7 separate regions of the Mus musculus genome follow, and all the other regions are reported to be linked to region 6. The links are microRNA targets in miRTarBase. Many come from high-throughput screens and were not tested one by one. Region 6 holds a microRNA gene; each other region holds the end of a gene's coding sequence.

Region 1 (4,065 bases), not on the chromosome of region 6:
TGTGGGGAGTGCGGAAAAGGCTTCAGCCAGAGCTCGAACCTCCACATCCACCGGTGCACCCACACGGGAGAGAAGCCGTACCAGTGTTACGAATGTGGGAAAGGCTTCAGCCAGAGTTCAGACCTTCGGATCCACCTCCGAGTACACACCGGGGAAAAGCCCTACCACTGCGGCAAGTGTGGGCAGGGCTTCAGCCAGAGCTCCAAACTCCTCATCCATCAGAGAGTCCACACGGGTGAGAAGCCGTATGAGTGCAGCAAGTGTGGCAAGGGCTTCAGCCAGAGCTCGAACCTCCACATCCACCAGCGGGTTCACCGCAAGGAGCTTCACTAAGTAACATGAGCCCACTCAGAAGACTTTTATTGTAAAGATAAATATTTTTCACGACCGAGTGTGCATATCAGAGGTAGCATGCTTGCCTAGCATGTATCAGTCCCTGAGTTTGAGCCCTGATACGCCCCCACCCACACACACACACACACGGTTTCCAGCTTATTAATACTTTGTGCATGTTAGGAATGTGTGTTCATGCAGAGAGGGGTATGTGTGTTGTGCTGGTGTGTGCATGTATGTGTGCACGCACGTGTGTGGACGTCTGAGGATATCTCAGATACTACATTCTGTATGTGAGACTAGGCATCTGTCTGTCACACATGGTGTGTAATGTCACCAAGTAAGCCAGGCCAGAGTCCCATGGATCTAACTGTCTCCACTTCCCAGCTCACCGTGGCTAGGGTTGCGGATGTGTGCCACCACATCCAACCTTTTTATGTGGATTCTGTCTCAAGCTTTCTAGACAAGAGCTTTGCTGCCTAAGCTATGTCCCAGGGCTCCAGTTTAATACTTTAAACTCTTACGTTTGAATTCCTCAAAGGAAAGAAATAGTTAAGGGTTATTCCGATATAGCCCCTCACAGAAGAAATCAATCCGAGTACTCAGCACATTTTATGTTATACAGTGAATGGGTTACTCTGGTTTCTCATATGGGTAGAGTGTATAATGCAATTCTGCCAGTGTTGTTAGAATTATATTCTACATTTTTTAACTGCAAGAACTCTGTATTTTTCCAAGCACAGCATGGTTCCCTTCATTCATATTCTCTGAGAAATTGGAATTCATGTTTCCTCTGAAATTATGTGCCTTGTTTTTCATATTCCATTTAAGTCCTAAATAGCTCTCTTTAAACTGTGACCGTCCAATGTGTTCATTTGAGGGTGGGGTGGGGGAGCTGGAGGTATAACGGGCATGGTGACCTGTTGTGTTTAGTACAAAAATGTGCATCAGTTTGCACTCACACTACAGGAAGTGCTCCCCACATACTACTATGGTGGAAAGTCCACTCAGTCCCTCCTCTCTGGCAGCTGTTCAGGAATGTAAATAATTAGTTTTTAACGAGTGAAGGTAGTTTCTTGGGGATGCTTCCATGATAAAAACAATGGAGAAATCCTGAAGCAACAGAGCCAAAATAGGAGAGTAAACCTAGCATTGGGTGCTACGGAGAATAGATGATCCAGTGGAAGAGGAGAAACAGTACGTGGGGAACATGAGGCAGCCAATTAGAGGCTTCAGAAATGTGAAGAATATGTGGCAGCCAATCAGAGGTGTCAAAAACATGGGAACCATGTGGCTGTCAATCAGAGGCTCTGAAACCATACTAAGACTGATAAAGTGGCCATGTGGATCAATGAAACAAAAAATAAAACTCACTTCAACATGTCAGCCCACACGACTACAGGCTACAGCTACCAGGCTTTTTTTTTTTTCCTTTAATATTTATTTATTAAACCGGGCGTGCTGGAGCACGCCTTTAATCCCAGCACTCGGGAGGCAGAGGCAGGCGGATTTCTGAGTTGGAGGCCAGCTTAGTCTACAAAGTGAGTTCCAGGACAGCTAGGGCTATACAGAGAAACCCTGTCTCGAAAAAAAAAACAAAAACAAAAACAAAAACAAAAAAAACCAACAAAAAACAAAAAGATTTATTTATTATATGTAAGTACACTGTAGCTATCTTCAGACATTCCAGAAGAGGGAGTCAGCTCTCTTTTTTTTTTTTTTTTTTTTTTTTTTTTTGGATTTTTCGACACCACGCCCGGCTGGGAGTCAGATCTCTTTAAGGATTTTAAGGAAGGTTGTAAGCCATCATGTGGTTGCTGGGACCCGAACTCAGGACCTTCGGAAGAGCAGACTGTGCTCTTAACCGCTGAGACATCTCCCTAGTCCCTCTACCAGGCTTTTTTCAAAGATCCCCCAAAATAATCATTGGTAAAAAGACATCTCTTCAACAAGTAGCACAGGGGAACTAGAGTCCAATGTCTCACTCTGCCCCAAAGTCAACTCTAAGAAGTCGTGGGCTTTTTCTTTTTTCTTTTAGGCACGGTTTCACTGTGTTCTGATTGCACAGGCACTCACTATGTGGGTCAGGCTTACTTCATTGATTAACACATTGTCTAAAAGTGTTAATCAGTGTCTAAAAGAAAAAAGAAAGAAACCACAAAATGGCTGATATCAGTTCTCTTCTGAAAAGTCAGAGCAATGTGAAGAGCAGGAAAGGCCTTACACCTATTTCAGTCCTCCTGCCTCAGCCTTCCAAGCAGCTGGGATTATAGACACCCATTGTCTTCTGCTATACTCAGCAAGGAGCAAATAGTATTTGTAACCAGAGAAGTCCACAGAGCCCCTAAAAATCCCAGCACTTGGGAGGCAGAGGCAGGTGGATCTCTGAGTTCAAGGCCAGCCTGGTCTACAGAGTGAGCTCCAGGACAGCCAGGGCTACACAGAGAAACCCTGTCTGGAAAAAAAAAAAAAAAAAAAAAAAAAAAAAAAAACCTAAAACAAAAACAAATCAGAAACAAAAACAAACAAACAAACAAAAAAACAGAAGGCTTTCAGAATCATGCAGAAATGCCTGGCCTCTGTCACCATGACAGTGAGAGCAAAGATGAGGTGAAGCCAGCTGCAGGTGACAATCTGAATTCAAGTTCAATCTCCCAATCCCACATGGTGGAAGGAGAGATGCTAAACAAGAGAAAGGGGCAGGCTTGGGCAACAGACAAGGTTTGATCACATAGTTTAGGTCTTCTGAACATTTAAGAGGATATGCAGACAGAATGGATGGAGCATAACTAGAGAGATTACCAAGAAAGATCGGCCCCCAGGGAGGACTGATGAGAACACTGCTCAGAGAGGAGGCTGAGACAGAGAGTGAACACAAGACAGGAAGTGCTAACAGACCATACAACCCAACCATTCAGACATGGGAAGAAAGGGTTAGACCTGTGTATGACGAGGAAGGACCTTAAAGAGCATGTGGCACCCTGGAAGTCAAGGAAAAGAATCAAAAGAAAAAGCAATCAATGGGCTAGAAGACCATGTGCAAAATGACAGACTTAGTCCTGGGAAGTCACCTCTGATATCTAGTGAAATATTAAGAGACAGGACAAAGCTAAGGCTTTTAGTCCCTCCCATGCGGCTGACCTCTGGTTCATCTTCACACAGAGACAGGAAGCAAGACTAACTATAAAAAGCCTTTAGTGTGACTGAGGTCATGTGAACCCTGTACAAGTCACACTCTATTGCTGAACAAGCACCACCTTTCACCTATCTAGGGATGACAAATGGTGTGCCTAGGAGGAAACAGCCATACCTATGTTCTAAAGGACAAACTCAAACACAGTAATTAAGTCTGGAACTTTTTTTTAAAAATCTACATAAAGAAGGCTAAGAATGTAGCTATGGCCTAGTGAGGCATTCTTTTTTGTTTGTTTGTTTGTTTGTTTTCTTTTTTGTTTTTTGGTTTTTTGAGACAGGGTTTCTCTGTATAACCCTGGCTGTCCTGGGACTCACTTTGTAGGCCAGGCTGGACTCAAACTCAGAAATCTGCCTGCCTCTGCCTTCTGAGTGTTGGGATCAAAGGCGTGCGGCTTTAGTGTGGCATTCTTATACCCAATCAACCAGAGAGAAAGAGGCAGGGAGGATCAGAAGTTCAGTTATCTACAAAACGTGGAGGGATACATAAATTACAAAAAAGAGGGCTGGCAAGATGGCTCAGCAGGTAAGAGCACTGAC
Region 2 (4,054 bases), not on the chromosome of region 6:
CCAGGGTAAATAAACACATGAAGAGTGCTGGGGAGGAGTTAGCTGAGCAGGCCAGGGGAGGAGAGTACTACATACACAATAGTTGGTGCTAAGCCAGTCACGGTGAACAGTATTTCCCAGAAAACAGCAAGGCCTGGGTGGAGGGGGCAGAATTAGCAGTCATGGACCTTGGGAGCCTTACTCTTCTCTCGTTTCTGCTTGGCTAACAGATTCCGGGACCCAAAATCCCAGCGGACACACCAGGCTCAGGTGGCCTTTCAGGTGTGTGTGCGCCCTGGCTCCTATACTCCTGGCCCTCCCTCTGCGGCCCTCAGAGAACTTCCTGACCAGCACTTCAGCCCATCGGAACTTGAGTGGGTCACTAAGGAGAAGGGAGCCACACTCCTCTATGCCCTGCTGGTACGAGTGGAATAAGGGGTGACATACCACTACTCCAAGCACAGCCGGGCCTCAAGCCCAGGACTCTTGAATGACGACTGCCTCCACCTCATTCCCGTGACTGAGAGCATGTCCAGTGCTGTCCTGGCAAGGAGGAGCACGTAGGCAGGCTTTGATTTAGAGCAGGTGTGAAGCACATCTCTACATTCAGGGCCCAGCACACTCCCTCTGCTGAGAGGGAGCCCAGCTCGTCTCGGGGTCCCCCCTTCATGCACTGACTTGGGGAACATGACTCCCTATTATTACCCTCCCCCATATCACTTAATTTATTTCCGTTTTTGTTTCTGGTTACTGTGAATCCCAAAGGAGTCTCTCTGTGCCCACATGAAGCTGCTTTTTCCGTGGCCACTGGGCGCCATGGGGAGGGAGTGGGTAAAAGGAAGGGCTGCCCGAGGACGCTGTGGGCCTCTGTACAGTTGTTACTGACTCTGATTTCTAAGGAGCCAATAAATACTGTCTTCAGAGCATCTGCCTCCGCCTCTGTCTCCCGCGGCCTCGCGAGTGAAGAGTTCTAGGGGCTTTATCATCCCAGGCCGCTCTGTAAATCCACATGGAGTTTGGACATCCCGGCACCCGTCTCTAAGCGCTTCCGCCTTCCCTTTCCTCCAATCGGCTGTGCCGTTTGCCGTCGTGACTCCGGAAGGATTTATCCTGGCCGCCGGATATGACGTAGAGGCCAAGGCGCGCCGAAGGCCTCGGAGAAAGCGCCGACAAGGCGGGTTGCGGGGGTTGGCGCCAGGGCTACGAGGGAGGGGCGGGGGCGCGGAGCCTAAGACCCTCGCACGCGCCCCGGCGCTGAGGCAGAGACCCCGGAGGGACGCTGGTGCCCGGGACACGTGATCGAAGTGGCGAGCGGGCGGCGGACGGGCTTCCGCTTCGGCGCGTCGCAGTCTCTCTAAGCTCCCACTTCCCTGCAGGCCCCGCCTGAGGTCTGGCAGTCAGTGAGAGTCGGGTGCCCACTGCCCAAGCGTCACCAACAGCATCATGCCCGCACTCCTGGAGCGCCCCAAGCTTTCCAACGCTATGGCCAGGGCTCTGCACCGGCACATCATGATGGAGCGGGAGCGCAAACGGCAGGGTGAGCCTGGGCCAGAGCGGGAGGACAGACACTCGGCTCAGGGTGGCCCTGCTACCCACGAACTTGCCCCCATCCACGGGCCCAGCTGTGCGCCTGCTGGCGAGGCTAAGAGGGAGGCAGCGGCGCCTTCGGGGTGTGAGTGAAGAGGCCCAGTCTAAGTTCCAGACCAGAACCCTGGGCTGGGAAGGACCTTGGAGAGCACCTAATGAAGCCAAGTTCTCCCTGTGGCTGTGATGGAGTAACTGGTTTTTGCTGGTCTTCAGTCTAACGCTCAGCTTATTCACACCGCCTTGCCACTTCCCCGTTCTGATTCTTCAGAGGAGGAAGAGGTGGACAAGATGATGGAACAGAAGATGAAAGAAGAGCAGGAGAGAAGAAAGAAAAAGGAAATGGAAGAGAGAATGTCACTAGAGGAGACCAAGGAACAGGTAAGTAGCCTCTCCACACTTGTTTCTCGATGCCTTCTTTTCCCTGCTTTAGCTGCTCGTCCCTCTTCCAGATCCTGAAGCTGCAGGAGAAGCTTTCTGCTCTACAGGAGGAGAAGCACCAGCTTTTCTTGCAGCTCAAGAAAGTTTTGCATGAGGAAGAAAAACGGAGGCGAAAGGAACAGAGGTGTGATGAGATGGCTAAAAGTAAAATTGTGCAGTGGCACAGGTGACAATCTAATAGCAAGAGGCTAACTGACCTGTCTTCCTTCCACTCCAGTGACTTAACCACTCTGACATCAGCTGCATACCAGCAGAGCCTGACGGTTCATACAGGAACCCACCTCCTCAGCATGCAGGGTGAGAGGACTGAGGAAACCGCCTAACAGGGGAGTTCTCCAGGAGGTCGCTGCCTATTTTAGCATCGTGAAACCTCTCCCCCTTTCTAGGGAGCCCTGGAGGACACAATCGCCCAGGTACTCTGATGGCAGCTGACAGAGCCAAGCAGATGTTTGGACCACAAGTGCTTACGGTGAGGGAAAGGTTTTTTGATTTTTTTTAACTCTTCAGGCTGGCTTTTTAAGTTACTAGCCAAGACTAGTCTTGAAATCTGATCCTAACTCCATGTCTCCTCCTTCTGTGGATCAGTACTGTTAATCCCAATCATTCAAGAACAAATATACCAAGCATGTGTATGTAGGAGCTGAGCGTAAAGGCATATATATATACATATGGGGTTTTTCCTAAGCAGTGAGCTTTCATTTCCCCTTAGACCCGGCACTACGTGGGATCAGCAGCTGCTTTTGCAGGAACCCCAGAACATGGACAATTCCAAGGCAGTCCAGGGGGTGCTTATGGGACTGCTCAGCCCCCACCTCATTATGGGCCAACACAACCAGCCTATAGTCCTAGCCAGCAGCTCAGAGGTGAGTGTTGTTCTCCTCAGACTAGGGGCAAGAAGAGCAAGAGCATCAAACCCTAACAGATCATCTCCCACCTTCCTCAGCCCCATCAGCATTTCCTGCAGTGCAGTACCTATCTCAGCCACAGCCACAACCCTATGCAGTGCATGGCCACTTTCAGCCCACTCAGACAGGTGAGATCCCCCTGGGCAGGAGCCCTACCTTCAGGAGTCCTACTGCCACCTGCTCATTTCAAACTCTCCTCCCCTCAGGGTTCCTCCAGCCCGGCAGTACCCTCTCTTTGCAGAAACAGATGGAGCATGCCAACCAGCAGACCAGCTTCTCGGACTCAGTGAGTATGGAGTCCTGGGAGGCCAAGGTGCTAAGATGAGGGGAGCCCCAGGATGCCTCCCTTTAAGGTCAGCTTTGTCTCCTAGTCTTCTCTGCGGCCCATGCACCCCCAAGCTCTGCATCCAGCCCCTGGACTCCTGGCTTCCCCCCAGCTTCCCGTACAGATACAAGCAGCAGGGAAGGTAAGGCTGGCAATCAAACCTACATATACTACCAGGGAAAGACTAACCTCTTACTGTAACTGTCCCCTCCCCCTTGTGCTGAGTGCTGGAATACCTACCCACTGATAAAACTCTTATCATTACCAGTCAGGCTTTGCCACCACCAGCCAACCTGGCCCCCGACTCCCTTTCATCCAACACAGCCAGAACCCAAGATTCTATCACAAGTAACCACCAGAGAGCTCCAGCCCACCCTCCATCCCTCAGGCTGGGGTCTTATGTGCCCCAAACCAATAAAATGTACAAAATGTACCCACCATCATGCCTGAGTGCTGTTTATTTGCTTCCTATCCAACTGCCTAAACCACAAAGGCTACTATGAAGTCTCAGCATTTCTAGATTCTAAAAGTACCTTTCAATCAACAAATAAACAACTGAGTTGGGGGCTTCATATTAAACTTGTAGTTTTATTCAGGTTTGATTTTTAACAAATGTGTCAGGGAGAGAGCCCACAGGAAAGGGTAAAGCCCGTGGGGGCAAGGCCTTCCCAGATGCCTGAGGAGGGATCGTGTCCCCTCCCCCCCTCCTCTTCTCACCACCCCTACAGGGGTTTGGGAAGAGACACAGGCAGGGAAGGGGCTGGTCCCCAGTCTGTACAGTGGTGCTTGGGGGTGAAGGACTATGGAGAACAGGGGACCA
Region 3 (4,065 bases), not on the chromosome of region 6:
CGGGAACCCAAGAGTGCCAGATACTGTGCTGAGTGTAACAGGCTGCATCCTGCTGAGGAAGGAGACTTTTGGGCAGAGTCGAGCATGCTGGGCCTCAAGATCACTTACTTTGCGCTGATGGATGGAAAGGTGTATGACATCACAGGTACACTTCTGACCTCCAAATACAAGATCTTATTTCATCTCATTTGCTATGAATTAATGTTTTGGGTAATTATCTCTGTTTGCAGAGTGGGCTGGATGCCAGCGTGTGGGTATCTCCCCAGATACTCACAGAGTTCCTTACCACATCTCATTTGGTTCTCGGGTACCCGGCACCAGTGGCCGGCAGAGGTAGGTGATACTTTCACACCTACTATGTCAGTTGTATGGTTTCAGATGCCTTGTTTTCTAGGAAGTTTGGGCACTGACTCTCGGTGTGTAGTTAATTTTGGAAGCCGACTATAATGTCTTCTGCCTCTTTTCTCCCTCAGGGCCACTCCAGAGTCCCCTCCTGCTGACCTGCAGGATTTCTTGAGCCGGATCTTTCAAGTACCTCCGGGGCCGATGTCCAATGGGAACTTCTTTGCCGCACCTCACCCTGGCCCTGGGACCACTTCGACCTCTAGGCCCAACAGTTCAGTACCCAAGGGAGAAGCCAAACCTAAACGGCGGAAGAAAGTGAGGCGGCCCTTTCAACGATGACACCCCTTCTCTTCCTTCCTCAAATCAATGTCAGGGAGTCAAAAGGGCTGTGTACAGCACAGGATGGAATTTGATTTATTTTAAAATACTTTAAAAAGGGAAACATTTTAAATTGTTCACTCAGTACTTAGAGGAAGCCCATGACCTCTTCTCCCTCTTCCCCAACACCCAGGAACTGAATCTTGTTTTCTGACAATACCAAAGAAATAGGAGGTGGTCAGAGCAAAGAACTTAGGGGCTGGACCTAGTCCAGACAGTATGCTTCTGAGGTGTGGGAACTGGGGATTTCTCTGGGGTCTGTATGCCTTTATCTTATCATCTGCTCTTAAGAGCAGATGAAACACACCCCCTTTTAAATGAGTGTATCTTATTTCTTAAACCCATATCAGGGGTTCCCCTCCCCCCTTTACCCTGATATACTAGCTAAAAGAAAAAGCATGTAGCCCTAATTTTGGAGACACAGAACTCAAGAGTGGAAACTGATTTTTTTCCTCTGACTTTCACTTTATTGGTAAGACACCTAACTTCAGGCTTGTTGTTGCAAGGATGGCCAAAATTAATTAATTTTTAAAAAGCAGATTTATGCCCTGTGCCCTTGGGTGAGGGGGAAGGATAGAGGGGTTCCCAGAGGCCCCCTTGTTAGCCAAGGGTTTGTATTTTTTTAAGTTTGTTCATATTTGTATGTACATATCTATTTAAAGCCAGGAGATTATCTTTCTATAAATATATAACTGGCAACTTACATCTTCCTTCTCTTCTTTACCCATGTAGCTGGGAGTCCTTTTCTATTTTCTTTTGGAGATAAGAGTCTTACTGTGTAGACCAGGCTGGACTCCAGATTGCAGTGATTCTCCTGCCTCTGCCTCCACTTCCTGAGGGCTAGCTAGTATTATAGGCATGTGCCTCCACTACTCACTTGTGAGCTCTTTTTTCTTATTTGAGAATTCTTTCCTTGCTGTTAGCTGTGAGTGAAAGGTATTGGACCAAAGGAGTAGAGACAAAATTTTGCTTAAAAGTTTTTTTTATAGTAAGTCAGCATTTTGCATTTTCTCCCCAGCATTATGAGAAAATCTCTCTGTCCTTGCTTATCAAATTTCAGCCATAACTGAAAGACTTTATTTTAAGAAAAATATACAGCAAAACAGAACTTGAAGTTGGTAGGTTTAGAAGATATGGAAAAACATAATCACCAGAAAAGCTGCCCAAACAATGATGGCTTCTTGCTAGATAGAGGAGAGTGAGTGGTAGTGCCCTTAACCTCATCCACCTTTCCTGATTCAGAGAATCTTGACCCTATGAAGACTGGACCCAGGAACCCCATTTTCCAGTTTCTTCCTTCTTGGAGTTTAGATAGGTTTATCTTATCTCTCAGGCTTCCAAGATACAGAAGATAGTGTGGAGAAGGGAAAACATTATATATTAGTTCCAGTGCCTTCCCTCAATGCCTGCAGAACTAGCAAACCATCTTTTAGTATTTGTTGATTCCAAAGAGACGAACCCCATGGAACTGGGGTAGCTTAGGCAGCAGCACGCTGAGCAGCGAGGCAGTGTTGATGAGGAAGTGAGCAGCATCGTACTTGGTGTAGAAGCTGGCCAGGAGGTAACTAGGAGAAAAGAATTAGGATGATGGAGGTTGGCCTCCCAAATCACATTCATGCCTTACCAGTGACTTTTCTATTTTGAACTACTAGTTTTATTGCATGTAGTCCAACAACTATTTCAGCTAATCAATGGTATTTAATGAGGTTCAGGATATAATCAGAAGGCATCTTTAACTAGAGATGATAAATCAGTTTGTTTGTTAATGGTTAATGATAAACTGCAAATGACAGCCAAAGCTGTTTCAGCATATATGACTTTTGGAGCCCTTTTTGCTTCCTTTCTCCAAGTCAGTTTTACTTTTTAACCATTAATATACATTCTGCCTTTACCTTCTTGCTTTCTTTTGGGACTGTAAAATCACTTGGCTTTAGTTAGGAGTTTGGTTTATTTTCAGTCCCTTCTCCCTTTCCTTAATACCATGGAACCAGCAAGGAATGCTTGACTATGTCTTGTACTTTATAATGTAGGCTTAGGACTAGAGTGTGTGTGTGTGTGTGTGTGTGTGTGTGTGTGTAAACATAGGTACATGTTCAAGGGTTAGTACACATGGAGACCAGAGTTCAACATGAGTTGTCATGAATTGCTCTCTACTTTCTTTTCTTTTCTTTTCTTTTCTTTCTTTCTTTTTTTTTTTTTTTTTTTTTTTTTTTTTTTTTTTGGCCAGGGTTGCTTTCTGACTCTGGAGTGCAGCAATTTGGCTAAACTGTCTGGCCAGCGAGCCCTAGGGATCTTCCTGCCTCTGACTCTTCAGTGCTGGGATTATAGGCACTCATGGTTGTACATGGCCACATCTGGCTTTTACATATGTGCAAGGGATTGAACTCAAGTCCTTATCCTTTATGGCAAGCACTTGACTAAACCATTTCCCCAACCCCTAGTACCTTTTCCCTGGTTAGTAGAGCCATTTCCAACCCAGCATCTCCTTCACACCCAGACTCACAGTACAATAGGAGAGATGCTGAGGAACTTTCGCGAGGAGGTAAACTGTAGTCCATAGTCCATCTGCTCCCAATGTGTCAAAAGCCGAGCCTTTCCTTGGTCAGGGGTCTCAAAGGGCGTCCCTTTGACTGTATGTAGGAAGATATACATTGCCTGGGAAGAGGGAAAGGGACAGTATAAGGGGTAGGAAGTAGTCCTTTGGGTCAAGATCCCAAAAGGAAGACATAAATCCCCGAACAGCTGGTGACTTTGTTTTGTTTTGGTTGGGATAGACCTGGGTTGGGTACAGGGTTTGGTTTAGTGCTCACCAAGTTATGGATGACGTTGGTCAGGGTCCAGACAACAGGAATGCTGAAGAAAGGGATGCTGAGGAGAACCACATGCAGCAGTCCTACCAAGATGATGTAGGCCAGCCAGATGCCCCGACTGTTCATCACTCGAGTGTTGGGGTTTACTTCGCTGTGTGCCACCCCCACATTCATCCTACCACAGTGAGGGATCAGGCAGGAGTCCAACTCAGTCTCCTCATTAGCCCTGATTGAGCTTGTTCCCCAGCTGTCTCCTGAAAAGCCAAAATCCCCTGAAGTCTTGGGAATGAAAGAATTTCCCTACCATGCAAAAAAAGGAAAAACTGAACACTTTGTTAAAACTTGAGAAGAGGTGAAGCAGCTGGGTGTGGTGGCTCATGCTTGTAATCCCTGAATTTAGGAGGTTGAGGCATGAGAACTGTTTGACCTTTCTCCAAAACAAACAAAAAGGCAAGAGGGTCTTCGAAATGACTAAGGTGGAAAAGGTATTTGTCACCATGCCTAAAGACCTGAGTTGGATCCCCAGGACCCA
Region 4 (4,065 bases), not on the chromosome of region 6:
AAAAAATAAATAAATATACTAGTAATAATAACTGGTAAGAGAAGAAAATAAACATTTAACTTAACATTTAATACTGTTAAGCCAAGTAATTTCCTCGCAGCACTCTGTGAACCTGACTTTCCTTATTTACCAGGAAACGCGAAATTACCCAGAATCCTATCCACAACTGCCAAGGGATGAAACCGTAGAGAATCCTCACCTTCAGAAGCACATTTTGGAATTGGCCTCCATTCTGGATGTTCGAAACATCTTCTTTGAGAATTCTATGGATGACTATTAAAACCCTCTTGTTTAACAGTTTTTCATTTTCCACAGATTTTAAATGGTGCAATTTTTTAATGTAATGACATAGTGTGTTACTTGGTTTTTATTTTTGGATTTAGGAAACACCATTTTAAAAGCAAACTGAAAAAAGTTCAAACTTTTAGGGTAACTTTTAAAATATAATCTTTCAAGTCTTTTAAATTCTCAATCTTGAAATTTTTATTTTTTTGGTCTTGGCATTAGATACTTACCTCCAACATCTACCCCCACATTCAAATAGTTACTGTTGTCACCTTAAGAAGAACATATATTGTTTATTTTTCCATAATGAGGACAATCCATAAGTTAAACTTGGACCTGGAAGTGTCTGGATTTGGGAAATACCTAATTGTTCATAGAGGTGAAACTGGCCACATGAAAGTCAAGAGCAGAGCCCTTCTGTGGAGTTGCTTTTCACTTCACACTAATCGGTAGGACATAAGTTACTCTCTGATGTACAAACTGATGTCTTGAGATCTCTGAATTTCATTAAATGATGTTAAATTTTTAGAACCTATTTAGAATTGTTTGCATCTGGAAATTAAATTTTAAATAGGAACTTTAAGATGACAGATATTTAGAATATGAGTACTATTATGATTTGTTTGCATATTTACTTTTCTTTGTGGTCTATGAATGCTAAAAATGCAAAGGAAAATACTTTTAAGTATTTCAGCCAAAAATCAAGTCATTGGTTTCATAGTTGGATCTCTACACAGATTCTTCGTTGGTTGGTTTTAAACAGTGTTGTAATGGATTCCTTGGTATATCCGCTGCACAGTTTTTCTAATCTTTTTTCATATTCAAGTTTCCAAGGCATGGATGTTAGAGAGACTCTGTGTGAGTTGAGGATAACTGGGTGTTAAGGAAGTAAATCGTGAGTTAATTTTGCTTTAACAATTTGGAAGATATTAAAACTCCCTGTGTTTTGTTATTTTATATTCATGCACAAGTTTTGTTATTTTAAATAGGACTCAATATGTAATATAAACGTTTTGTACATCCTTCCCTCCATCTCCTTGGTAATCTCAAAGGTCCTAGCTGTGAAGGTTCTTCCTTCCTGGCATCTTTTGGTTGCATGGCATTTAAATTCAGAAATCTGTGAATTGTAGGGTCTTCTGCCTGTGTCTACCCCTGACAGTCCTAGAGAAATGAGGTGGTTGTTTTCAGTACCTCTTTCCTGTGGCCCTAAGGAAATTTTTGATATGGTATTTTAACCCAGTTAACTCTCACTAGAGCATCACGTGGGTGTAAGTTGTGGCCATATCTGCTCCAGTGCACTTACTTTGTGAAGTCCAGGTCATGGTTGGGTCAGGGACTTAGGAAGTTTCATTTGCTTTTAAAATTGTTTGTATGTTCTTTCAGACAGTATTTTTAAAAGCTTAGAAAAAGGTTAATCTGGAAAGAGCCCTTCCAGATAGAGGTTTTTCCTTTTTAAAAGGCCTACTTCCATTTGTTTGCAAATCATGATTTTCCTTTTATAAACTTTCCTCCTGGAATGTAGCAGTAAATATTCCTTAGTAGTCTGGCCTCTGTTCCAGTTCCCTTAAGTACTGACCAACAATGCATACTTTCCTGTTCCCTGACATCTAAAGTGGCCTTGACCAGTGTTTTATTCTTTTTTGCTAAGCCTAAGGACCAGTTGTTTCAAAAGCAAGAGGTCTGAGTTCTAATCCTGGCTTTTCTAGTAATGAGCATGATATCCTTTGACAGACAAATAATCTGTTTTTTAGCACTCTTCCATATAAAATAGAGCGACTCGGTTAAGATCCTATTCCTGTTTGTGATTCTACAGTTTGGAACATTTGTTCCAAAAGTGTTGATTTCCTCCCCATTGCTTCCAAAAAAGTTGATTTGTGTGGTTTTAGCACTATAATATCCTTTCTATATCGTGTTTACTAAGGTGGTTCAAAACAAACCAAAAAATCCTAGGTCATACTTTGCTGTTTTGAGACTTGCTTAAAGAGACTTTCCTGGAGAAATTAGACCTTCCATGGTCAGAAAAAAAATGTATGTTGCAGATGCCAGTGTAAAACTAGATTATAACATGGGTTCTTAAACTAATAGAAATACAGTTCCTAACTCGTGGTTAAAGATATAAAATGGACCAAAGCTGTGGTTGTAGCTTCTTGGTAGAGCATTTAGCTAGTATTCAGAAATCCTGTGTTTGGTCTTCATCACTAGGGGAAAAAAATATATTTTTAAGAAAGAAAACAATAGAACCAATTTTGAGCTGGGTATGGTGGTGCATGCCTTTAATCCCAGTGCATAAGAGGCTAAGGCAGGAAGGTTGCAAGGTCAGAGCTAATCTAGATTATATAGCAAAAGTCCACCTCAAAAACAATTGTTAAGAGATCTGAAATCTTTTGAAAGCAAAACTGGAGTAGGGAATTTGAAACTTTAAAAAAAAAATCTTTGCCTTAAAAAATAAAAACAAACATACGTCACACATACCACATTATTTTTTTAATGGCATTGAAATGTAAGCAGAGGAGACTTAAAAATCTTTGCCTTGAGGATTAAGATCGGGCTTAGTATTAGAACCTTGCCTAGCATGCGTATATCCCTGGTTTCCATCCCTGGTACTTAGAGGTATAGCAAGAGCATCAGGAGTTCAAGGCCATCCTTAGCTATACAGAGTAAGCTCTAGACCAGCCTGCACTACAGTATGAGACCCTTTTGCAAAAATAGATTTGCCTATTTTAAGCTCCATTTAATCTTAGAATTTTTAAAAACTTAAATAGTAAGACTAAAAAAAGCAAAGCCAAGGGAGCAACATTTTTGTACTCAAATTGCACAAATTTCTCTGTAGATTCTGATAAAGTTTCTGGTGTCTTAAGAATCACTATAAACAAACTAGGAAGAATCAGACTGTAAGAGACTGGTTATGCACAAAGCAAAGTGAAGCACAACAGGATTTTCTTTCTGTATCCATGTATTTCTGATACTAAACCTTCCCTGTCTTATAGGAAGCAAGCTGAGATGTCAGAAGCTACTGGTTATTTGGTGATAGACATAACAAACACGAGCTCATCTCAGCCCAGTTGCTTAAACTTCTTTCTGTAATAAACAGGAGGGAAATTTTTAGAGCTGTATAATCTTAACATAAAAATTAGGATTTTGTTCTGTTTTGGAAATTCAAACCAGTCAAGATAAGGCTCAGTCATAGAGTGCTTGCCTAGCATCTGCAAGGCTCTGTGGTTAAATCCCAGTATAATGAATATTCTCGCCAGTGAATCAGCCACCACTAGCATTTTTTATTAATTATAAAATCAGATTTTTTTTCTTTGATTTTAGGCAGTATATATTCTTTGTAAGTATATCCCTCCTAGGAAGCGGTGCTCTCAAAAACTTTCAAAGCACAGAATTTATTGTGCCCTTTATACTTTTTAACAAAGTTAAAATGTTTCACAGTTTGGGAATTGAAGTGTAATTTGTTATTTGAGGTTTTCCTGACTCGAGGTCTGGGTTTAGAGTTTGGTTTTGTTTCTTCTCCTCCATCATGTAATAGAATTCCCTTAAATAGGTAATGATACTGAATTTCATTAGTGTCAAGGAAGAAGTCCAGCTCAGACTTCCGAATCAGACACAGGTCCTTCTGAAGCATTCTTCTCCAAGTTCAGTCTCTGTCTATGTCTGAGGTGGGGTTTCAACCTAGTTGAAAAGTCTCACTTATCCGTGGAGACTTATAATCACCTCAATAACAAGAGAATGTTCTGGACTGGAGATGCATTAAGGTGCCAATGTCTGCATACTTGGCCA
Region 5 (4,065 bases), not on the chromosome of region 6:
ACCCTGAAAGCTTTATGCTTCAGACAAGTACTTGTAGAAGAATGTCTTCTTGGTGGAGAAAAGAATGCTTGTCTTCCCTGATATTCTTCTCTTCCACAGGAAACTGAGATCGACAGCATTCACCAGTTAGTCGTGGGGGCAACTGAAAATATTAAGGAAGGCAACGAAGACATCCGAGAGGTGGGTACCTTGTGCTTTCTAGTCTGATGTGGCCCAGCACTGCATCCCAGCAGCCTGAATCCCATTAGTGAGGTTGTCCAAGAATACTGTGTAGTGTTTAGGGTCCACCTTGCAGCTGTAGCCATGGGTTTACTGTCAGGGCCAGCCTCAGAGCATGTGTTCATAACACCTGCGGATTCTCAAGAGAAAGTAGCTTCCATCCCTGCAAGGACAGTGGGTGGGAGAGCACCCAGGTAGGGTCAGGATAATCTGAAACCACGGATGAGTCCACAGAGAGGAGGAGCCCAGAAACTAACTGTGAAGGGCACCTAGCCTTATGAGCCAGCTGTCTCTAAATCCCAGACCTCCTAGTTTTTCCTGTGTCACCACAGACCGGCATCACTGGAACACCCAAGCCCTGGTTCAAATGGGATTGGTCCCTGGGGAATTGAGTCCTGGGAGGTTAGGCTTTGCCCAACAGAAGAGGTTAAGGACAGAGCAAGCAAAATGGCTCAGTGGATAAAAGTGCTTGTTGCCAGGCAAGACTATCTGATTTTAATTTCTGAAGTCCACAGGGTAGAAGCAGAGAATTAATTCTACATTTTCCTCTGACCCTATCCCACATACACGGTGGCATGTATTCCCACCTACCCACCATTGAGATAAATGTAATTTTAAAAATGTCTTGGGAGGCAGAGGCAGGCAGATTTCTGAGTTTGAGGCTAGCCTGGTCTACAGAGTGAGTTCCAGGACAGCCAAGGCTACACAGAGAAACTCTGTCTCGAAAAACCAAAAAAAAAAAAAAAAAAAAAGAAAGAAAAGAAAAAGAAATATAAGGGCTTTGCTCTCTGTCAGTGTCCATGCACAGTGGCTTTTGTGCCTATCTAATGAGAGCATGGGATTCATAGAGGTGTGCTCAGGGCACCTAGGGCTTCTAAACCCAGTCCAGGCTGGTGCTAACGCCTGTGCTCCTCCTGCCAGGCCATCAAAAACAATGCAGGTTTCCGAGTGTGGATCCTCTTCTTCCTCGTGATGTGTTCCTTTTCCTTGCTCTTCCTCGACTGGTATGACAGCTAGCCCACCAGGGCTGAGCCTGCGCCTGCGCCTGTGCCTTGGACGCACCACGTGCCAGCATGTGTCTCATCGGCTGTGGAGCTGTGTAAGGTCCAAGGGCTGGGAAAACACCGCCCCCAAGCCAACCTTTGGAACCTCTCAGGACCTGGAAATACATGGATTGCAAGTGCCCTTCAGGGTGGAAAATAAAAGGCCATCAGGAGCAGCACCTTCAGGACAGGCCACAAGCATGGTGGGGACTGAGCAGAGCAAGGAAATGGCAGGCCTCCTATCTCCATTACAGGCTTGGGGCCCATCTCCTGCCCTTCCCACGCCCGTAGCTTCAGGGGAGAACATGCCTAATGTTGCTAAAGTCATCAGTTCTTATTTCCTTGTGGCATCTAATGTGTGCTGATACATGGCCATTTTGTCATAGACAATAATTCACATCTGCCTTGTCGAGCTAATAAATGCAATTACAGCCACTTATTGCAGTCAGTGAGTCTCCACTGAGCCCCTCTGGCCACCACCTGGCTGGACAGGCAGGCTCTGGGGCCCTCCACTAAGCCTCTCTCCTGACCTGGCTCCCTGTCTTGTTAACATCAAAGCTAGGGCCTAGAGGCACACGAAGCCTCATTTCCTGCCACTGAGTCCCAGATATTTGTGTTCCAAGAAGGGTGTGGACCTCAGAAGAGTGGGCCTTCTGCTCTTGCTCCTGCATACTCGCCCCTCTAGAAGAGGCCACAGGGTTGCCTGTTGAGAACTAGAAGTGTATAGCACATGGCCTACATCTGTGTACAGATGTATCCTGGGTTACACAATTCCTGCGGAAGCACATGAGTACAGACAGTCCAGTGTGCGGCTTAAGTACCCACGAGCTCTTTATTTGTAGAGTAAAAATGAGAAATTACATTGGGAGAGTTCACAGTGGGTAAAGGGCTACGTTAGAAAACACAGAGGGCCTGCCTACTGCACGCACACGGCCCATGAGTCGGATCCCTCTACAGACAAGTTTTGGCACATGTGTATTGCTCTTTGCGCATTCCTCGCAGCTTTCCAATGCACTTCAAGCTCGTGACTGTGTGGCCCCTCCCCCTGTGCTGAGCTCATGCCCTTTGTTTTAGAACACCTCAACAATACATGATGTTGTCTCAGTAGCACACCTCAGGAAGCAGCAGTGGAGCTGATGGTGGCCACCATGCTTGTTCACAAAGGTCTCAGACTATTTGCCATTTATTTCTGACCTACTAAAGGACGCCGAGACTTCTGACATGCCCACCAGAAACAACACATTCTGAGAACATGGAAGAAAACAATCAGGAATAGCTTTTTCTATTTAATTGTCTTACACATTTAGTTTACCTACTGGTGATTTTGTAAACATATACTTTAATGTCAAGATTCAGATTGAAACATAAACATACTTTTCTTACAAAGATTGTGGACTTAGATATTCTATTTGCAAGGTGCCACATCAGCCCCCCCCACCAGCCGTCCTGCCCCTTCCCACAGCACAGGAGTCACATCTGTTCACAGAAGAAAAGCTAAAGTAGCCCTGGCTTACCCAAAATTACATTTCACTTTGCCCACTGGCTAATAAAACAAAACAAAACAAAACAAAAAACCCAAACTGCACCTGCATTCAGGGCTGTACGTGCAAATATATTCATAACAGGAAAGAAAAGAACCAGTGGGCTTTCTTCCTACCTAGCACATTACCAGCAGACAGCCCACCCACAGAGAAACAGGCTCGGCGACCCCCTAGCCCAGAGCCAGCTCTTCCCCACCCCATCCTTGTGCTCTGCTCAGGGGACATACCAAAGAGAACCTCCCAGAATTGCCTGGCAGGGCTGCGTCGTGGTGCCCACGTCCCCTTCTCTGCGCCGCTCAACAGTGCATGTTGACAGTCAGCACTGCCACCAGCAAAAGCACGGGATCACTCTAGATATGGCTATGGAGTAAGGTCTGCAGATAGCAAAGGGGCAGAAAAGAAAACAGGAAACCAGCAGCTGTGCTGTTCTGACGGCCAGACCCCTGGCATAGCCAGTGTAGATTACCTTTTGACAGTATCCAGTGAATCCCAGGGAAGGAGCTAAATGAAGACTCCTCAGCGTGGACAGTGGCATCCAGCTCTCTAAGCAATGCTGAGATGCTCTTGTTCTTACGCCTGTGGGTGGTCCGCAGCAAGTTTAATTTGCAAAGCAGCATTAGCAAACAGAAGCAATTGCACCGTAAATGAGTAATCTCTAAATTATCGGTAATTATATTTAATGAAATGTCCCTCAAAGTCCCCTTGTTGCCTTCAAGTGACACATCGTAAGGAACCTGCCCTGCTCGCTAAGCTGACTTCTCTGCAGCTTCGGTCTCCTGTTCCGACAGCTTCTCTTCTGACAGAACTGACATCCATGGCGACACGGAGCGGGTGATGCTCTGCTTGGCCACGTTGTAGTGGTTTATGACAGTGTAAAATTTCTCCCGGGCACTGGAGTCTTGCTCCGTGTAGTAGCTCTCCAAGCCTTCTGGGATGCACTGGGTGTTCTGTAAGACAAGAGGCCGTGGAGATGGCAGTAGTTACAAAGGCATGCCAGCGTGTTCCTGCAGTTACTGTCCCCCAGTAGCTCCTCAGCCTCTCCCCTGAGCTTGCAAGAAGAGACACTAGCATGGACAGAGGGATGGGGCCTGCCCTCAGAGGGACAGCTGTGTAGAAGATGGGCTCCCAGGATAGGGGGAGCAGGCGGTGTGCCTCCCTTCACACTCATCTATTCGAAGCAAGGACACTTTGGACACACCTACAGACAATCTAACTAAAGTAAGAGGAAGAACACTGAGGAAGGCTTGCTTGAGTGAGATGGC
Region 6 (4,065 bases):
AGTCAGAAGTCCAGTGGAGTTTTTTAAAAGTGTAAATGTGTTATATGTAAGTTAAATGTCCTCAAGGGAAAAACGGGGGCCAATACCTAGGACTCCCACAACGTGCAGGAGGTCTTTTCCTGACAGTTGGATGCTTGAGTGGAACAGGTGGCCATGTTTTCCTTTCTTGTGCAGAACCTGGCTGCTCCTGCCTAGCTTCTGGTTTTGACTTGAGAGATGCTTTGGGGAGAAAGTCTTGGCCAAAGCATACCATGGCTACATCAACTTGTGCTCTGAAGGACCAGTGGGTTGGCTGGCTCTAAGACCTCCTTCATCCTTAATAAAGCTAACAAAAGGCAAATCTCCCAGAACAGCTGGTACCCTTCACAGAGGCCTGGTCTCAGGGGAAGCTCAGGGTGACACAGAGAAACCACTGCTGAGCAAGTCATGTTAGTAGCTGGATACGCACCACCTTCACATCCAGATAGATAATAAAGGAATAGGTTCATGTAGCATCCATTGGAAAAGCCCCAAGCCTGCACAGTTAGTATCTTGGGAATAGTTTTTCCCCATATAATACAATTGCTTTATTACATTTTTTGTAACTTATATTCAATATAAAAAGTAATACCACTGAGTTGATCTTATAATTAGTCTCTGATGAAAATAAATTCTTTAGAATTCTGTCATACTCTCAAAAAGGGGAAGAAGGGGTCACTTGGACCTTGATATAGGAAGTATGGACAATAGAAGCCTTTCCATTATTCAATGAGATACAGTTTGGTTCATCTTAGGAATCTCTGGTATGAGCCTTCTATGCATCTAAGGACCTAACAAGGTCCTGGTAGAGAACCACCTGGCAATACACTCTCTGCTTGTCTGGGACCAAGGTCTGGCATGTGAGCTCCAAGCCTGTAGCTTAGCCATGCAGAAAACATGTTTGCTTTCCCATGTCACAGAACACCTGTGTGCCCGTTCCCACTCCCACTCAGAATATGAATCAGCCACATGGGAATGCCAGACAGCAGCAGAGTTACCCCCCATCCCAAATCTCACCACTTCTGGCAAGTGTCTTCATCCGAAAGACCTTTTAGAGCGATGCTTAAAAAAACTACTCGTTCACCAATGGTGGCTTCTACATATTCCCAAGTTCCTTTTCTGACGACCCCCGTCAAACTACTCTCCTGCCCCTGTAGGGTAAGAGGTCTTGCTCATCCACAGTTAGGAGTGCCATCAAGAGTTGTTTCCTCCTAAGGTAAAACCAACAAGGCCTGGGAGCATAGCCATGCTATTTCCAGGAAAAGTACTTATATAGTCTCTGTGCTAGACAGCTCAGAGTAAACTCACATACAGTTCACGGACTCATTTATGGGAAGAAGTCAAAGCAGCCAGAGAGGCTGATATATACCCGAAAGAATGCTTTCTGGGTCATAGCCCAACTTCCTGCGGCAGCCAATTAGAGTATTTGTTTACTTTCGGACTGCCGGGTTCTTCTAAATATTAACAACCTCTGTGCAGAAGTTCACCTACAACAGAAAACTCAACCGACAGAGCACAGTCCCGAGCATGTTCTCTTCATCAGACATATCTGATCCAAATTAAGGTCTGCAATTAAGGTTTACGGGCTCACCATCCGTAAAGTGAGCACAGTCACCAGGGTTTAGATTTGTTACCAGAAGCGGAAAGTTAGAGATAATAAATGTCCCGATTTTTTTTTTGGCATGGAAAACAATTACAAAATTTAATCTGTGAGAGTGTGTTGAGAGTTGTCAGGAAGAAATATCTAGATCAATGTGTTTGCCAGTTACAATCCTAACCTTTGTCCTATATCAAAGACACGGGTTGTTATCTTCCATCTTTTTCCACTGAATACTTTTCTTAAGGACTCCTAATTGCATTCAACTAAACTTTAGAAAATATCTTAAGCCTTCAGGAGCTATACTCCCTTTCCACAACAAACAGATAATGTAGTAGTATTGATACAGTTTGTTGTGGTCTGAAACAAAGCATCCCCCATCCATAATAAGTTAGTGTGTCTGAACATTTGGTCTTCAGCTGGCAGTGCCATTTGGCTATGGAAGCTTTAGGAATTCACAAAGCCTTGCTGAAGGACATACTGGCCTTTGAGGTTTTATGGCCTGGCTCCATCTGCTGTCCTATCTCTCTACTTCCTGACTGCCGGCCTTCCCTCTTTGATGGTCTGGCCCCTGATAAACTAAGCCATAATACACCCTTTTGCCTTAAGTTGCTTTTGGTTGGGGCATCCTGTCACAGCAACAGAAAGGTAACTAAGACACAGGTCTTAAAGGCTACACGAAGAAATGGAATGAAACATAACAACATACGCACTCTGTCATCTAAACCTACTTGTGATTTTTTAATATATTTTTTCCTGTTGCTTCTAAACTTTGTTAGGACCCCCGGAGACAGGGCAAGACACTGTAGGAATATGCTTGATATATAGTTGGATTAAATAACAACCTAATATATCAAACATATCACACAGAGGCCTGCAGAAAAGGCATCCAGGTTTGACTGAGCTTGAGAATATGGCTGTGGGAGTCAGTCACCTCTGCAGTATCTCCCAGCCTGCCTTGGAACACAGGCGTGTCTGTAGGTGTGGCAAGGATGCCATTAGCAACAATGCTGGTGGCACACACTCTGAGCCTGGGCTCCTTTCCCCAAATGAAAAGGGAGTCTGTGCACCTGTCTGTCACTCACGTCTGAGAGATTACAGGTAAAGGGAGGTGCTTCCATGGTCAGGGCCCAAGGGTGGAACTACACCAGAACCATCTTCACATGCCACAGACTAGTCTCCTTTTAAAACAGGTAACCTGAGAACCAGGTAATCAAAACAGCTGGAAGTCATCACCCTCCCTCCCTCCCTCCCCAAACTAGTCCTCCAAGCAGCACAGGTGCTCTGCCTGGGTGGAGGATAACCTCATTCACGTGGTATGGGGGTGGGTGGCCACAGTCACTATGGCAAGTATGCAGGAGCAGCTGCCATTTATGGCACCCTGAGGATTTTTGTCTTTAAGGTTACAGGACAGGATGGAGAAAAGTAACCTCAAATATTAGCTGGTTTTGCTGTTTCGGTAATTTTTTTTCTTTTAAGCCGAGGAAAAGTTCTTTTGTAACTGTCAGGAGGATGTTATGCATTGTGCAAGAAGTTTCCCACGGTGGACGGCCCTCCTTGCAAGCCCGGGGCTACATGCTTTGGGATGATAAGCTGCTTTGAGACACTTTCATGGATAATGCCTAGCAGTGTACACATAAGGGGTCCACACAGGCCGCCTCCGGCAACCATCCCTCATTTTCTTTTCTTAAGATTTACTTATTTATTTTAAGTGAGTACACTGGCACTCTCTTCAGACACACCAGAAGAGGGCATCGGATCCCATCACAGATGGTTGTGAGCCACCATGTGGTTGTTGGGAATTGAACTCGGGACCTCTGGGAGAGCAGTCAGTGCTCTTAACCGCTGAGCCCTCTCTCCAGCCCCCCTCATTTTCAATGTGTGTGGTTTTCAAACATTGTTTTCCAGAACTGTAAAACACAGAGCCTGCCGTTCCCTGGTCCCATTTCAAGTCTTAGCTGTTCTTTGCTGATCATCTCCGTTAGTTCCCAGCTTTGTGACATAAGCACTAACCATGGATGCCTAGGTGTTATCATTTCTCCCCATTTTACTCATTCCATAAGCATCTTCACGCTGTACAGTCTGGCAACCATTACTCTTCATTACTGTAACAGCCTCATCATTTCCCTTCAAGAAGACCCCAACTTCTTACTGCTACCAACCAAGCTTCTAGAACATCCCTCTCACACAAGTCTGGGTTTTTTTCCTTAGGAAAGGAACTGGAGACAAGTCTAACAGCCTAAGACACTATAAAGTGCAGTGGTCCTGAGGGACGGGAATCATTTTCTCTGCCAATGGGGTATCAGAGGGAGTACAGTGTTCAGAAACTGGGACCCCAGCTCTATGTTCCCTCCCCACTCAATCACACGGTCTGACAGTGGTGAGGACCAGATAAAATACTTAGGAGACTGGTCTGGACCGTGTCTTGTATTTACGGTAGCCCTGTCGCC
Region 7 (4,060 bases), not on the chromosome of region 6:
CCTCCAACTCCAGTGCAACATAGCCTTGCCTGCCTCCGCTGCTCTGCTGCACTCGAGGCTGGGGTCCTTCCAGTGGACACCCTCCACCCCACCCCCGAAAAACCAACCTCTTCCTGCAAGTATCCAGGGAACAGTCTTCCAGCTCTCTCCCTTCTCTTTCTGTTTCTCATTTTCTTTCCCCACCCACCAAAGCTGGGAAAGTGAACCTCACCCCCTGCTCCCCCAGACTTGGGGGGAGGAGGCCAAGGGACAAACTCCCAAGGCTGGCACTATTTGGCAGCATTTCTGTCTTTGAATTCTTCCAAAACTGAATCTGTAAGCAGCTCCACTAAGTACTATGTCCTCTCCCTTTCCCCCTCCCCACAGGGTGATGCTGAGTTCAACCGGATCATGAGTGTGGTTGATCCCAACCATAGTGGCCTCGTGACCTTCCAAGCCTTCATTGACTTCATGTCAAGGGAGACCACAGACACAGACACAGCTGATCAGGTCATCGCCTCCTTCAAGGTCCTGGCAGGAGACAAGGTAAGCACGACCCACAGAAGCATTGGCGGCCGGTAGCCAAAACTTGAGCCAGCACTGGGTACTAGGTCAAGTGGGTAAGACACAGTGGCTCAGAGTCCTGTTTATGCCCCTAGAACTTCATCACTGCTGAGGAACTGCGGAGAGAGCTGCCCCCCGACCAGGCCGAGTACTGCATCGCCCGCATGGCACCCTACCAGGGGCCTGATGCTGCTCCTGGCGCCCTTGACTACAAGTCCTTCTCCACAGCCCTCTATGGGGAGAGCGACCTGTGAGGCCCTTGGCCACCCTGAACAGAGACTCCCTTGGCCTCCCGGAGGGGCTGAGGAGCCCTGCCCCCACCCTGACTCTGTATCTATGCAAAGAGCTCTTTGTGGTCCTTCTAGGGGGTCAGGCAGGGAGGGGCTAGGCAGGCCTCTCTTTCTCAGTCTTGTAGGGGAGGGAGGCTTGGCAATCAGCATTTCTGGTCTGCTAAATATATACGCTGTGCTGTGGGTTCTTAGCCGATTGGAGGGGACAACGGACTCCTGTGCCCCAGAGATACCTTCCTATCCCAGGTCCCCTCTGCCCCTGAGGCCCCTTCAAAGCCTCTCACATCTAGGCCAAAGCCCCATGTGCCTTGTCCAGGAACCGCCTGCCCTAAGAAGTCCAGCAGAGGGCACCCAGCTCCCCTGGACCAGATTCCAGTGGCTCCTCCCAGGAGCAGAGGACCTGCCATAGCCCTTCTCTGCCTCAGGAGTGGCTGCGGGGCAATCAGCCCCAGCCCACCTGGCCTCTGAGTCTCAGATTTTCTAAGGACCAAAACCAACAAAACACAAAGAATGGAACAGAAACAAACAAAAAAATCATTTAAAAAAAAAAAAAGGAAAAAAAAAACTTAAAAAAAAAAAGAAAACTTTAAAAACTTAAGACCTTCCAGAGAATTACTATTTACTTTATTAACTTACGGATTTATTATATAAATATATATCCATCTAGCTGCATATCTCTGCCACCTCTCTCACTCTCATAATGAAGACATAGCTGATTCAATGCCCTCCCCAGTCCCTCCTGATTTTCCCCTCGTGGCGGTGGGCAGAGGTCTCTGGGGACCTTCTGAGGTGGAGGCAGGCTGCTGGCCTGCCTGCCTGGTCGTTAATGGGTTTCTCTCCACTCGCCCCCTTGAGTTTATTCTGATTGATTTTTATTTTCTTGGTTTCTGGATAAACCACCCTCTGGGGATGGGAGAATAAAACATGTAATATTTTTAAGAAGGACTCTGGTGTCATCTTCTCCCTGCATCTCTGTTCATGCCCCAAGGAGCTGGCAGTGCCCACCAGCCCAGTGCCTGTGTGGGGGTTGTGCCCCTCTCTAAGCAGGGACTGACATGAAGAGGCTTCAAAAGGAAGGGTGGCAGTTCTGTTTGGGATGGCTCCAGCTCGTAATCCCAGCACTTGTGAGGCCGGCCAGGGTTACATAGCCACCACCTTTGTGACAGTGAGTCGGGCAGCAGGGTGACCTCCCTCAGCTTCAAACCTATGAGAAGGTAGCCACCTCCGACCACTGAAGAGAAAAGAAAGATACCCTTGAGGCAGAGGCCCTGGGATGGTGCTAGAGCCACACTGTCCCTCGGGCCAGCTCACCTGTTTGTGGGTCAGGCAGACGACCCCCTCGCCGCCATCCAGGTGTTGGCAGCAGTGGCCTGTGTGGGAGAGGCCAGGGTGAGTACGCAGCACCAGCCCTGATGCACACCCCACCACACCCTACCCTGCCTGCCAGGAGTACTCACGGAAGATGCAGGTGAGCCGGGCTGCACAGCACACGAAGCGCTCGAAGTCCACACGGAGCCGGCTGTCCCGGTAGCGGCTAGTGAGGGACTGGGTCAGCTGGTTGTTGAGGTGGAAGCCTACGAGGAGGCCGCCTTGTTTATTGTGTTTACAGTATCCACGTGTGGTGCTGCTTATTTTAGTGTTGGGGGTGGGCACACGTACATGGGGAGCGTCTTCCTCAGTCCTTTCTCTACTGAGGCCGAGGCTCACCGAGATCACTTGCCCTTCACGTGGGTGCTGGGGATCTGAACTCTGGCCCTCACACTGGAGTTGCAAGTAAAAGTTCCTTACCTACGCAGCATTCCTGTGTGCTGTTTGAAAGAAGCTGTCCTCTAACTCCTACATAGCCAAGGACTGTCACCAGCTCCTGAGGCCCCTGCCCCTCCTCGGGTGCCAAGAGTTCAGCCTGTGGTTTATGTGGTACTCGATCTAGAACTCAGGGCCTCCAGCACGCTTGAGGAGCACTCTCCAACTGATGTGGGCCTTTTGTGGCTGTTTTGGAGTGTTGGGGGTGGAACCCCGGGGCCCTTGCATAGGCCAAGCAAATGCTCTCTCCGTTGAGCTACAACCCCAGCCCTCTGGGAAGTTAGTGTGACACTTAAGTTGCTTAGGCTGCTTCTCAAGGTGCCAACAGGTGCAGCTTTGTGATTGCGCCTTCAGAGGTTGACGGACTATCTCCCCGACTGGGTACCACTGTGTGACTCTTCCTCTGAGGCCGCACCTAAAGTCTAGACATTGGCTCTGTCACATCTGCTGTAGAATCACAATGCAATGGATTTCTAGAAGCCCTAAGGCCCAAGGACTTGTCCCTCCCAGCTTCCATGAGCCCCATACAGTCTCAAAGATAACTGTACAAGTTTGTATTGTACCTTTGTGTGCTCATTCAACAGATGCTGCCCCTCCCACCCCCACGAACACCAGGCACACCATGCCCAGAGCTAGGTGGCCTGAGGCAGGTCGGTGTCCCTCTGATGTCCATGTACCCTGAGTATTGGTCTATGCTGGCCCAGGGCTGAAGGGAAACCTGGCTAGATGGCAGTAGTTCCTGACCCAGGAGCCCTCTGTCAACCTCTTAGAATTGCTGAAGATTCCCAGGCAAACATTATTATCAGACTCCTATCCAAAACAACCAGGCACTCTGGGATGAATGGATGGATGATCGAGTAAGTTCCCGACCTCCCCTCTGTCCTGTGTCCACTGCTTTAGTTCAGCACCCTGGCCCCCACCTTGGACTCTGCCTTGGGATCTTGTCTTCCATGTTCTTGGCCACTATTCTAGGTCTCATACTTGTAGTCTCTCATCTCTCACTAGCCTACGTGCCGCCCCCTGCCTGCCTGCCCCGGCTCCTACTTAGTGGTCACAGATGAACCCATGGAGGCATGGAGCTGACGGTCTTCTGAAATCACGATAATCCCACCCTAACATACATTTCTCCATGGCTTAGGATGGGATTTTCATCCTCTGTTGTATAACTCCGTAGCCTCATAAGGTGCTTTAGGGTATCTGGGGTGTTCTGTGGCATCTTGTGGGCTCCTTGCCATACTACACATTAGCCATGCCACAGATAAGCAGTCAGAGCCTCCAGGGAAGGAAATGGGCTCTGGCACTTGTGGACAGCCTATTAGGGATGGCCACAGCTGAGGGATGCAGACAAGAATTTGAGGATGGGTTGCTGTCCCTACAGCATCCCAGGTCCTCAGCCACACCTGCAGCAGTCAGTGCCAGCCTCA

Evidence for each region. The annotated mature microRNA mmu-miR-190a-5p reads UGAUAUGUUUGAUAUAUUAGGU and lies in region 6 at 2,459-2,480, opposite strand. An mRNA with a match to its seed (bases 2 to 7 or 8) in the 3' UTR can be bound and repressed. Matches are read on the target gene's strand: a 7mer-m8 pairs with bases 2 to 8, a 7mer-A1 pairs with bases 2 to 7 and ends in A, and an 8mer does both.
Region 1: the mRNA of Zfp239 is a reported target of mmu-miR-190a-5p. Seed matches in the 3' UTR shown: 7mer-A1 at 397-403.
Region 2: miRTarBase lists Neurl4 as a target of mmu-miR-190a-5p. Seed matches in the 3' UTR shown: 7mer-A1 at 692-698.
Region 3: miRTarBase lists Dnajc14 as a target of mmu-miR-190a-5p. Seed matches in the 3' UTR shown: 7mer-A1 at 1,066-1,072 and 7mer-m8 at 1,370-1,376.
Region 4: the mRNA of Scai is a reported target of mmu-miR-190a-5p. The part of its 3' UTR that is shown has no 7-base or 8-base seed match.
Region 5: the mRNA of Nsg1 is a reported target of mmu-miR-190a-5p. The part of its 3' UTR that is shown has no 7-base or 8-base seed match.
Region 7: the mRNA of Actn4 is a reported target of mmu-miR-190a-5p. The part of its 3' UTR that is shown has no 7-base or 8-base seed match.

Annotation. Positions count from the first base shown.
Region 1 is chr6:117,871,576-117,875,640 of GRCm38, forward strand. Zfp239 (zinc finger protein 239) reads left to right here. Exons shown (of 4, transcript NM_001001792.2): 4 at 1-1,191. The coding sequence ends at 333. Among named protein-coding and RNA genes, the nearest start is that of Gm38882, 6.0 kb to the right of the region's middle.
Region 2 is chr11:69,912,918-69,916,971 of GRCm38, forward strand. Neurl4 (neuralized E3 ubiquitin protein ligase 4) reads left to right here. Exons shown (of 29, transcript NM_001013414.3): 29 at 210-907. The coding sequence ends at 414. It overlaps Gps2 (G protein pathway suppressor 2), which reads left to right and starts at 1,103. Exons shown (of 10, transcript NM_019726.5): 1 at 1,103-1,516; 2 at 1,835-1,944; 3 at 2,016-2,128; 4 at 2,222-2,301; 5 at 2,391-2,473; 6 at 2,714-2,867; 7 at 2,948-3,037; 8 at 3,116-3,195; 9 at 3,281-3,376; 10 at 3,503-3,677. The coding sequence starts at 1,423. The coding sequence ends at 3,586. It overlaps Eif5a (eukaryotic translation initiation factor 5A), which reads right to left. Exons shown (of 6, transcript NM_181582.4): 6 at 3,795-4,054.
Region 3 is chr10:128,816,728-128,820,792 of GRCm38, forward strand. It overlaps Dnajc14 (DnaJ heat shock protein family (Hsp40) member C14), which reads left to right. Exons shown (of 7, transcript NM_001359825.1): 5 at 1-145; 6 at 231-333; 7 at 474-2,721. The coding sequence ends at 684. Ormdl2 (ORM1-like 2 (S. cerevisiae)) reads right to left here. Exons shown (of 4, transcript NM_024180.6): 2 at 3,534-3,787; 3 at 3,227-3,378; 4 at 1,175-2,288. The coding sequence starts at 3,707. The coding sequence ends at 2,153. Among named protein-coding and RNA genes, the nearest start is that of Ormdl2, 2.9 kb to the right of the region's middle.
Region 4 is chr2:39,071,225-39,075,289 of GRCm38, reverse strand. Scai (suppressor of cancer cell invasion) reads left to right here. Exons shown (of 18, transcript NM_178778.3): 18 at 134-4,065. The coding sequence ends at 280. Among named protein-coding and RNA genes, the nearest start is that of Gm30067, 6.9 kb to the left of the region's middle.
Region 5 is chr5:38,135,123-38,139,187 of GRCm38, forward strand. It overlaps Nsg1 (neuron specific gene family member 1), which reads right to left. Exons shown (of 5, transcript NM_010942.4): 5 at 2,071-3,750. The coding sequence ends at 3,550. It overlaps Stx18 (syntaxin 18), which reads left to right. Exons shown (of 11, transcript NM_026959.3): 10 at 100-180; 11 at 1,141-2,648. The coding sequence ends at 1,236. Among named protein-coding and RNA genes, the nearest start is that of Nsg1, 23 kb to the right of the region's middle.
Region 6 is chr9:67,234,242-67,238,306 of GRCm38, forward strand. It overlaps Mir190a (microRNA 190a), which reads right to left and starts at 2,485; the gene lies at 2,419-2,485. The region is part of intron 53 of Tln2 (talin 2); the gene reads right to left.
Region 7 is chr7:28,890,966-28,895,025 of GRCm38, reverse strand. It overlaps Actn4 (actinin alpha 4), which reads left to right. Exons shown (of 21, transcript NM_021895.3): 20 at 367-525; 21 at 639-1,778. The coding sequence ends at 797. Capn12 (calpain 12) reads right to left here. Exons shown (of 21, transcript NM_001110807.1): 18 at 4,037-4,060; 19 at 2,291-2,407; 20 at 2,145-2,203; 21 at 1,441-2,064. The coding sequence ends at 2,038. Among named protein-coding and RNA genes, the nearest start is that of Gm44700, 4.0 kb to the right of the region's middle.